Linked DNA regions of Oreochromis niloticus. The protein of the gene in region 1 purifies or fractionates together with the protein of each later gene. This does not show direct contact. Links are inferred from orthologs where the notes say so. Each region holds a gene or a part of one and is shown in the gene's direction. Other genes may lie near its edges.

Evidence for each region.
Region 2: the proteins of stx8 (region 1) and vti1a purify together in Homo sapiens (affinity purification with mass spectrometry; 3 studies listed by BioGRID and IntAct, with this or other methods). This does not show direct contact. The link is inferred for Oreochromis niloticus from reciprocal best matches to the Homo sapiens genes STX8 and VTI1A.
Region 3: the proteins of stx8 (region 1) and vamp8 purify together in Homo sapiens (co-immunoprecipitation; 5 studies listed by BioGRID and IntAct, with this or other methods). This does not show direct contact. The link is inferred for Oreochromis niloticus from reciprocal best matches to the Homo sapiens genes STX8 and VAMP8.

The regions. Positions count from the first base shown.
Region 1 is NC_031971.2:26,236,356-26,240,110, forward strand, and holds the start of stx8 (syntaxin-8), read left to right. Parts: upstream 1-1,005; 5' UTR 1,006-1,144; coding exon 1,145-1,161; intron 1,162-2,394; coding exon 2,395-2,494; intron 2,495-2,569; coding exon 2,570-2,664; intron 2,665-2,863; coding exon 2,864-2,974; intron 2,975-3,755. Other genes in the region: TBC1 domain family member 24, read right to left, coding at 823-832. UniProt on the Homo sapiens protein: Vesicle trafficking protein that functions in the early secretory pathway, possibly by mediating retrograde transport from cis-Golgi membranes to the ER.
Region 2 is NC_031973.2:13,245,448-13,249,202, forward strand, and holds the start of vti1a (vesicle transport through interaction with t-SNAREs homolog 1A), read left to right. Parts: upstream 1-1,083; 5' UTR 1,084-1,123; coding exon 1,124-1,217; intron 1,218-3,755. UniProt on the Homo sapiens protein: V-SNARE that mediates vesicle transport pathways through interactions with t-SNAREs on the target membrane. These interactions are proposed to mediate aspects of the specificity of vesicle trafficking and to promote fusion of the lipid bilayers.
Region 3 is NC_031977.2:6,109,915-6,113,669, forward strand, and holds the start of vamp8 (vesicle-associated membrane protein 8), read left to right. Parts: upstream 1-863; 5' UTR 864-1,053; coding exon 1,054-1,068; intron 1,069-3,624; coding exon 3,625-3,755. UniProt on the Homo sapiens protein: SNAREs, soluble N-ethylmaleimide-sensitive factor-attachment protein receptors, are essential proteins for fusion of cellular membranes.

The DNA.
Region 1 (3,755 bases):
CTTCAAGAGGAAAGGTATCCTTCAAATCTTTATATATTGTTGCTGTGTCAAGATCTTCCCATTTCTTGGTGTTTGACTGTATGAAAAGCTAAATAAAAATAAATGAATGAATTAAAACAACTATTTTCTTCATTAAATAATTAATGGGGAACTGATAGAGACATCTTAAATATGATTTATCAAGCCATGATAATAGTCTTTATATAATATGGGTATAATGTATGAGTCAGCATCTAAGTATTGTTTGGATGTTAAGAATGTAAGATATATTCCTTTCAGCACAACTTTTTAAATGGTATCACTTTAATACATGTAAAAAAAAAAGGCTATCTCCTATTGTTCAAGCTCAATTTAAGTCTTCCTACATGCAGCTTCTTTGGAGTGTCTTTTTGAGGATTATTGGGAATTTATAAGTAAGAATAAGGATTTCACTCCTCTTTTGTAATAAAGCAGCTGGATCTAGTCTGATAGATTATAAACACAATGATCTGTTCTATTGTTCTAATGAATAAAAGAACTACTACATTTATGATAAGTTGGATAAGGCATTTCTGTCAAGGAAGCTATGATTAACTGAGAACTCTACTAGAACAATAGTGAATCAATCAGCACTTGCAAGGAAAAAACAGAGATTCAACAGGGAAACGTTGGAAAGAGGAATAGGCACTTAGTCAAAGGAGAGAGAGGCTGGTGAGAAACATAATGTTGTTTTGACTAGGCCGAGGCAGCTCACTCTAAAAGTCATAGGCACACATCCAGATGTTTTTTTTTAATTTGGAAAATTGAGATCACATCTAATAATTATATTAAATTATATCTTACTGTAGGTCATCCACGTCTAAGGCTTTCCCATGAGTCTTTATTTCTGCCTGAAGTGTTTTTTTCCGTGTGAAATCCTCAACTAGTTAGTCGAGCAGCCCTGAAATTTCTACACTTTAACTGACCCGTGAGTCAAAAATTAACAGCAAATCCTAACCCACAGAGGGCAGCATTATGTTATTACAATGCGCGCTCTGTAGAGGTCGTGGGAAGTTTGTCTCTGTCGCCTACCGTAGTGACGTCTTGTCAAAACAAGAAACAGGCTGCTAGTGATTACAGCCGGATAGTTGGTTCAAACTTGGCTTAATAGCTGACTTTTAGCATAATGTCTCAGGATGCCTGGTAAGTCATTGTCTTGAATGGAAAAGTAAAATGACTCAGATGTATTTTTAAGGACAACAAATATTATTTCTACGCCTTGTAACTACTTTGAATCTAGCTAGCGAAAGTGGTAGCTATGATGATTAGCCAAATAAAATAACATGTATTTTTGTTTAGTGATTAGAAAGTAACCGCTTCGTGTGTCGGGAAGTAGCTTGGTGGTTTTGGATTCGGATTTCAAAACAATTTGTTGTCGTTGTTGTCGTCGTCGTTGTTGTTGTTGTTGTTGTTGTTGTTGTTGGGTCTACTTATAACAGCAAATCAAATAGCGTTAGAGAATGGGGGAAGAGGAATGCTAAAAATGTCACAAGATAAAACCAAAGCTTGTGCTATGTTTCTGACGCTTTACCCCAATTTGGCTACAGTAATACTAAATAATAATATTAAATAACAATTATTCTGATAGCCATGTAGCTCATGCTTTCGATTAGGCAATACACCATCTAAAGTCGTTCACTTGATCCGTTGTTCAATAAGTTAATTTTCAGTTTGCATAGTTTTATGCGTTAATCATTATTTTCATGATCATTGTGGGTTTTCAAAACATATATTTCAAGTTTTAGAAATTTGATTTATTTATTTATCTTTCGCTTGCTACAACCTACACAGAAACAAAGTTCAGACAAGAAGTTGCCCAAAACTAAAATACGGTGCATCTGTTTAGGGATCTGAAACTTGAGTGTGACAAATATGCAAAATTCCACATCCTTTTGTGTCAAGTCAAAAGTAGAGGTATTTATCACTGATGGAACGGCCCGCGTCTCCTGAGTATCTGTTATACGCATATGCAGTTCTTCCATTTGTGTAAAAGGTAACATCTTTTTAGTCTAGTGCGCGGAAAAGAATTCTGTGCAATACTGATGCAGGGACCCAAAACGATTTGCGAATGACTTCTCAGCCAAGCAACATTTATTACACTGTGAGAATGTTGATGGAAAGGTTAAATTCATTTTGGTTTTGGAGTAATACAACTATGACACAAAACATAATCTTTTTTATCTTTTATGTTAAACACACCAAGTTTACTTGTAATGAAAAGTATTATAAAAATTAAATGTATGAAAATATTATCCATCATTATATTAGAATGCAGATTCATGCACTGAATCTTAGTTTTACTACTTCATCTTTGGCTACTTGATGATGTTGCAGTTCAAGTTACATGGCATTTTAATTCTCATTTTTCATTTGCAGGTTACAAAATTATGATGCCACTTGCCGCTTGGCACAGGAAATAGCTGAAAACATCCATGAACGGAACAGACAACAGAGAACGGGGGGGAACCCTGCAAAGGTAGCCTCTTACAATTACAGTAGTATTGCCTTCACATTCCTTTTGTATTAGCGAGCTAATCTTCTGTCTTTTCAGATAAACATGACGCTACGGGCTTCACTTCAGAAGCTGAAACAAAATATCGCTCAGCTCAAGGAGGGCTTGTTGCGGGCATCCTCATCTCGCCGCATGTATCCTTTAGTTTAGAAGTGTGAAAAGCCCACTTTGCTTACATTGGCAGAGGTGTTCCAATAGGGGGCATTAGAGTGTTTAGAAAGTGACCTTACTAATGCAACATGCTTAAGTTTTAGAAACATAAGTTGTCCCTGCTCATCAAAAGTGGTTAAAGCATTGTGAATGTTTTGTGTAACCTTATCATGGCCTCATCAGAATGCAGCCCGAAGCTGACAGAAGGCAGAACCTCATTGATGACCTGCTAACCAGAGAGAAGCAGCTAAATGCAACTTTCAAGGGCGATATTACAGAGTCTGAACCCTCCAGGTAACATTAGGCATGTTAGGTTATTATAAATGGGATAAAGTGTTAAGAAAAGGAATATGTGCAAATATCACTAATCACAGATTGTCCCACTTTCAAAGATTTCATTTTATCTTAACATATTTTGATCACAGTAGTGCTTGACGTAGTAGTTTCTTTACTTCTACGCCCACTTTGGAATATTTGCTCACCGTTAATTTCTGTCACTTCTCGGTCAGTGTCAGGAGAAGCAAACCAAGCATCACTGATTGATGAGCATCCTGCTCAGATCACACTGCCTTTCATTTTGTAACTTGTCCTCTTTGAGAATTTTTTTTAGTACAATTTCCACCTCTGGTTGCCCCAATTAAAAATAATGAATCCTCATTCTCTTGTCTGTGTTCTTGACCTGAGAGGTCACAGGCCCTAGTCTCTGCTTTGATGATATGTCACCGGTCACTAACTTTCAGCGAGTCTTTGTACATCCTGTATGACCTCCCCTGGTGCTGTCACTCGGAGGGAAGTCTGTGTGCCTACCATTTTGACAGGGCGCTTAACTTCATAGCTAATTCTTTTTCATTAATGGATTTGCTTGCTTTGCACTGTTGATTACACATTTGGCACGTACTCACGCACAAATGATGAAGACAGAAAGAGCAAGTTTATTACTAGCAATTGAGCATAGTGTACTCTATACTGTATACTTACACAGTGTATTCTGCTAGTTAAGGAAAGAGCCAGATACCACCACTGTATATAAAAGATATACATGGATGTCATGGATTCCATATTTTAAATTCCCAAT
Region 2 (3,755 bases), on another chromosome or scaffold:
GATACCCCCTCCCCCCATTAATAAATGAAATTATCCTTTAAAAACTGCATTTTGCATTTACTCGTGTTATCTTTGTCTAATGTTAAGATTTGTTTGATTATCTGAAACATGTAAATGTGACAAATGTGCAAAATACTCTTTCACAACACAATTTAGATCATACTGCTATTGAAAAAGATGTTATTCATGCTTTAAAAAAAGAAACAACTCCTCGGTAGTTGCAATAAAAATACTGAACAACCATGACTAACATTTTTAGCTAATGACTTAAAAGCAAGTACAGAAACGGCAATAAAACATGCCACACTAACGTAGACAGTGCTGGATTTGTATTAGTATTAAATTACCATACTAAAAGCAGAACCATAGCATTTGCTTCATTGACTAATTAGCTTGTGTTACCAAGCTAGCTAATTCTCGCCAAAAAAAGAAAAATAATTACGATTTATATGCAAGTCTTCTATCCATCACTGCACAGTAATGGACAGAAAACTATGCGTTAGACAACTCCGCTTTAAAAAAACAAACAGACAAGTGATAAGTTTATGCCTTTAGCTCTAAAATTGTGTTTCCGTTAGCACCGTGGGTTGAGCAGTTATCGTTAGATAGCTAGCCTAGTCACCAGCATAAACACTAATAACGTAGCATGCTGAACACTTACCACGAGGGGCAAATAGAAAACAAAGATAACCTAAATGACAAATGCTTTGTTTTTAATAAATAGAAACAAAAGGCTGTCACTTTAAATCACCAACCTGGTCACTTCCTTATTTTTTTTTCATAAAATTTTCCTGTGTACAGTGAGGAACCTTCCTCATGGTGTCTCAGAAACTACTACCCTGAACCACTTGTAGATACCTTTTAATCCAAGTAGTAGTCTATCACCGAAACGGCACAGAACTACAAGAATTATTCATGCATTCAAATTCGGGCTGAAATTAATAGCATTTTCTGTCCACCTTTCGAACCTTTTTCAGTGTCGAAAACGTGAAAACAAAGTCAAGTTCCTTACCGAGCACATTATGCTGTGACTCAAGGAAGAAGCTCCATTCGAGGCTTGTTGTTATTCCGAGCTAACTGTCAACCAGAAAGCTACTTACCTGTTGTAAACTCGACTACCAGAATGTCTTCAGACTTTGAAGCATACGAGCAGGACTTTGGAACAATTACAGCAGAAATAACTAATAAAATTGGCCGAATTCCCAAACTAAGTGGAGGTAAGAGAGTTACATTTATAAGCTGTTAAACCTCATCTGGCTTGCTAGCTCTAGTCTCAGCTGACAAGGCAGCTAACGGTAGCGATAATGTGATTTCATCCAAATATTGGTCAAACTAGTGGTGAAACACAGCTATATGTAAAGAGTTCTTGTTATATAAAAAGAATGTGTCATGTATATGTGGCCGTCTTCTTATCTTGGTATGTCTTTGATCGGTTTAGCCGGTGTGAAAATAGTGTTAAAGAACATCCTAACTCTGTTTATGGTGTTCAGAAGAGGATAGAAGCTTCAAATCACTTTAATGAGTAGGTTAATATTAATTGAAACTATTCAACTGAAGTAATCTTTTAGTGTTATCATAGTGATTTAGTGTATGAGATTCAGTGTATGAGATTCTTGCCAATACTTACCATAAAGAAAAACCTATGGATGTTTTTGTGGACAACCATCATTGGAAAAGTTAAGTTTTGGAATGGCACTGATATCACAGCAGCTTTCAGTGACACTTTTGGTGAGTGTAGTTTTTAGTTTTACTGTGGATTTCAGTTTTAGCCAGTTTAAAAATAATTCAGCCTTTTGATACCAGCAAGTTTGAAAGCATACGTTTCTTAATATGTTAGCAAGGGCCTAGTAACTAATATGATGGACTAATAACTTTTTCCTGGTATTGACTTAAAAAATATTTAAAAGCGTGTCTTTGGTTGACTATTTATTTAGCTCTTCACATTCCATTCACTTTTATTTATATAGCGTTAAATCACAACAGCAGTCACTGAAGGTACTTGGATTAGAGCAATGTAACCTTCAGTGGACGGCTTTTCCAGCAAAAGGTTAGGAGTTTCAAAAATGTTCTCATTGATCTTCAGAACACAGTCCTGGATGCAGCTGTAGATGGTGTACTCTGGTTCATCCGTGCGTGCTGTCCTGCACAAAGGTGCAAAATAAGGACAGTGCATGAGGTAGGGCTGCTCAATTATGGCAAAAATGATAATCACGATTATTTTCACTGAAATTGAGATCTTGATTATTTGACGATATTTATTTAACAATAACAATGTATTGAATAATGGCTTTAAAGATTGTCAAAAAATAGTATAAAATAGTGTGCAAATACTGATTAGTGCAAATGTTTGCAATATAAAAAATAAATGAAAAATGTAAACATCTATGTTTAGTGAACTTCAAAAAACTGCACAATATTTGATCCACGTCTGACTCCGCGAACCCATAATGTTTCCACACCACTGAAGTCGTTTTACCTCTCTTTTCAACCAACGGCATTCTTTCTTCAGCAGCCGTTATCCTCTCCTCTCCAAATAACTTCTGCTTAGCTTTCCGAGCTTCCCTCGGGTCTTCTTAATTGTTGTGACACGTGTTTGAAACGCAGAGAGGTGTGCTCGATTTGCCACACGGAGCAGCGCGAGAGTAAAGCACGAGGGAGGTGCTAATAATCGGCTCAGTCATTTTTAATGATCGTTGAAAGCCCAGATCGTAATCTAGATTAAAATTTGATTAATTGAGCAGCCCTAGCGTGAGGTCCATAGTAGGAGTTACAGATGGGTTTGAGGTGGGATTACATCAAGCATCAGGTCTGAGTTCCTTCTTGTTTGCAGTGATAATGGACAGGTTGATAGATGAAGTCAGGCAGGAGCCTCTGTGGACTTTCATGTTCGCAGATGACATTTTGACCTGCAGTTACAGTAGGGAGCAGGTATAAGAGGTCCTGAAGTTGAGGTATGCACTAGAAAGAAGAGGAGTGAAAGTCAATAGACAAGAGAGAATACGTGTGTGAATAAGAGGGAGACAGATGTAACAGTTAAGATGGATGAGTTTAAATAAAAGCAATGCACAGTGCACAAGAAAAGTTAAGAAAGGAGTACAGGAGAGGTGGAATAGTGTCAGGGTTTATTTGTGATAGATGGACAACAGCAAGAGTAAAAGGAAAGAGAAGGTATTGAGACCTGCTATTAGTGCTGTGCGATATGACGATATATATCGTGTGGACGATAGAAAAGTTTCTATCGTGCCATTTGTCTTCTATCGTTTCTGTCGTTTCTAACCCTAATTTCATAAATTATTACATAAAATATATCATTAACCCTTTACAACCGGTCGGAACAGGCACACTCCGTTTTGCCTAACTATTTTTAAATCCCTGTAGAACTGGAACCACGTAAGGTAGCGCAATAATTTTTTTTTGCATATGAAACCGTAGGAGTTGTACTTACATGTTATTCCATTAGCTTGCCCTAGGTCACGGTTTCCTTCCACATATAGCTTTGCAAAAATTGCATAAAAAGCACTTCCAGCAACAAAAACATAATATTCCAGACTTGCAGCAACAAAAACAATATTCCGGAAACACGCTTTGCCGATCCGATCAGCTGTTCATAACACTTCCTAGTTGGAATATATTTGTCAGCGCGAACTATCGCATGTCCGCCATTACCTGACCGAAACCGGAAGTGACGTCATTTTCGCGGAAAATGTAGTTTTTTTACTTTTTATAGCCTACGTTGGTGTTTTTAAAAGTCATGT
Region 3 (3,755 bases), on another chromosome or scaffold:
TGATGGAGAAATTAATTCCAAAACATGCTACCCCACATTTTTTGTTCTTTGAGAATGAACAGGCAGTATTTCAGCACACTTAAACAATGACTTTCAAACAGTTTTCCCAAATTGACGTAATGCCTTTGATTATTTTTAGCTGCTTCTGATTCAAAGCAGCTTGCAGCAGTCATGACATAAGGGCATGCAATGACCAATATTCAATCTTCGTCACCAGTTTCACCAGACAAAGAAACCGGTTTGTCAGGGCTCAAGCTGCTAGCTGGCTGAAATTTGTGACACCAGGAGAGGGAGGAGTAACTGAGCTGAGGCCACTGCTGCTAATCTTTAAGAGTGCTGCTCTCCAGTTTCACTGTTGTCCCCCTTGAAACTTAAAAAAAAAACCCCGTATACAAATATGTACATCCTCGTTTACTATCAAAAATGCATTGGGTTACTTTACAGTTATGCTAAGTTAGAAAGCAAGTTTGTCAGCCATCCTGAACACAAAGTTCTCGGAAAGTTTCACCGCCAGCATATCATGGGTACATCTTGGTATGACGCCTTCTTTAACAATAGAAGAGGGACTGCCGCCTACAGGTGTTTTTGGAGACAATAAAGGAAGTAAACGTATGCACCTGCAAAATAAAAGCACGTAGGTCTACAATGAAAGTTTGATTCGCTTCAAAATCATTACAGTACTTTTACAGGTAGTGAAAATCAATATCTGAATACGAGTATATAAAATATAATGACGAATATTACTGTGTAAAAATTAAAGGAGACATATTTGTTTATATAAACTTTTTTTCTTTAATGTTTACCCAACCACTGTAGCCTAAAACGTTAGGTTGCTTTATTTTGGAAACCAAAGGGCGGAAACGGAGTTGTCGTTCACTTAACAGTTGGAAGAAGGCAATTAAGGGAGGAAAAAAACAACCAGGAAGTAAAACAGGGAGAAACGTATTTGCTTCGAGACTTTAAACTGGTTTTAAAAGGTTTTAAATCAAATCGTCAACTTTTAAAGAAAGTAGATCCTTCGGTTTGCGGATAGAGGACATTTTTTCCAGCAAGATGGACACTGATCCGGTAGGTGATAATGACCTTTGTTTATGTTGTTCAGAAAGCCTCCCCGCCGTCACCAGTTTGTTCAGCGACAGTCTCAAACAGGTGTTCTTCCACATAAATCAACTTGTACTTAACTTGAAACCTACCTCGACTGAAAATAACTTAAGTCGGCGCACTAACTTTTTCATTTTTGAGGGAGTAAAGCAGTAAGTAAAGCAGCTTAAAAAAAATGGCCTAATTACACACAGTACTCAGTACGTGTTGGAAATGATTTTTGTAAAGTTGAGATGCGTTTGTTTTCCATAAAATAAAGCCGCATACTTCAAGTAAATGTTTCCATTTACTACTATCTATTTATAATACATGTTACTAACTGATAAACGGTTGTTTTTCACGTATTTGAAGAATGTTTCACAGGTCGTTGGTGGAGCCATTCGCCTGTAGCCAAGCTCTGCTTGAGCAAGTAGCAGTTTAATGCTAACTTACCTTACAAAATAGATATTATCCACTGGGCAACACTTTTTAAAATTATTATTATTATTATTATTACAATTATTTTATTAGTAAAGGGGAAAAATAAACTTTTACAGGTAGAGCAGCTGAAGTGGCGTTTATTACGTGCTAAATTAGGTTTACTGCTGTCATGTTTTAACATTATTTAATGTTGGCACAAAAGAGGCATATGTATATGTGTGTGTGCGCGCGCGCGCGCGTGCCTTGCAACATATTTCTTTGCCTACTTTAATGTAGAAATGGCTGCTATGAAGACTTTTTTTGTTTCTTTTTTTGTTAACTAATAACACAAAAGGCCACATAATGAACTAATTATAATCTGTTGGCAGTCAGTGCTGTTTATTCTGCTGAACAGTTAAGAACGTCCAGGCAGTTCTTTAAATATCTGTAATGACTCAACATTGTCGACCTAAAATAAAAACGTTTCCTTCTAGCCTGCAGGAAAATCTTACTTCCTGTAGTATTCAAATCTCAATGTGTGTCCTCACAGATTAGGGCAGTTTCCAATTTGCCTATATCAGTGTGAGCAGTAAGGATTCAGTGTTTGAATAAATGTTTTGGATTTACAGCTGCAGTCAAACATTTTAACAGGAAATATCTGTTGGAACATTTTAAGGTGTACTTCCTTGATCATTTTCCTCATGCACCAATCACATATTTACAAGACCCCTTATCTGTCAATTTATAAAGAGAGACTGAAGTCACTCAGCTTACAACATATCAAATATTTGAATTGGATTCTTAATGTAGCCGCCTTCTGCAGCTGCCTTGGACACTTTACTTTCTGTTTATTGATACTTGATAGGCATCAGCCATTCGGTGGGCCTGAGTGACTGACGTCCTAGCACTGGTACAGAGGAATGAGAGAGATTAAACACATGTAATGAAGATATAACAAGAAAAAGAAAATTAAAGATGACTCCAGAGTTTGGGTTTTTTTTCAGAAAATTCTTCTGAAAAAGGATGAATGGAAAAGGAGGAAAAGAAGGGAGGGCGGGGTAACAGGAGAGGCGAGAGACACATGACGCAGGAGAACCTGCCCTGTTTCCTAGAGACAGTTTTGTTACAGTCTGTTGCTGACTCATGGGACGGAGTGGTCCCTGCATGTTTACTGACACACCCCCAACTGCACACAGCATTTCTGCGTTGAAATCACATGTACAGCTATGTGAGGTAACAGCTGACGTTTCTCTTGAATGCACACAGGCTCTTAGCAGACCTTCACAGATGTATAAAAGTGGTCAGTTGACAGCCACAAGGTGCAGCTCAAGGGCTTGTAAATAAATACTGTGGTTACAAACGGGTCAAAAGGACATATTTACATTATATGCTGCTTTGTCACTTGCAGACTCAATCATGTGGAGATAGTCATGTCCAATAAAACATGAAGAGGCCGGGCCTCATCAAAGACTTATAAAGGGATATTTTTGCAATTTAGCTGTGCACTTCTGTGAGTCTTTAGAGATTTTCCTGAGACAGGTTTGCAAAAGAAGTAGAACCTTTGATATTCAGACAGTCACTCTGACATTTTTGAGGTCTCAAAGCACAAGTACAGGAGATAGCTACCTGAAGTTTTCAGGGCCGAAGGACACATTTTGGTTTTGTTAAAACTGACGCTAAACCAGGTTAACATTTTTTTTTCTTTAACAAACTAAGCATCAGTATCACAGGATATATCATAGTTTCTATCTCAAAATTGCACCCATTTAATGTCTATGACTTGAAGCAAGAGAACAAAGTAGTGCTACATGCAGCATATGCTTGATTGATGAGCAGACTTCACTGTTCACCCAGCTGATACTTTTTATTTTTTGAATTGCTCTGCTTGTAGGCAGTTCATGCCAACGCTATTTTGTGTGCGTGTGTGTGTGTCGGGGGGGGATGATGTCTTTAAACATCATGCTTTGGTGGTTTTCTGTTATCCAAGGAGGCCCTGTATTTTTGGGGAGGGTTGTTGGGTTTGTTTTTTTTTTTTTGTTTTTTTTTTACATTGTTAAAAATAGAAAATGGTTTCTGCAAAGGGATTGCAGCTAACTGTTCTTTAATGACCCTTCTCTATACCAGGAGCGCGGAGGAATAGAAGAAATGCCAGAGCCTAAGGACAAGGTGCAGGCTTTAAAGGATCAGGTGGATGGCGTGAAAAGCATCATGACTCAGAATGTGGACCGGATCCTGGCACGAGGAGAAAGGCTGGA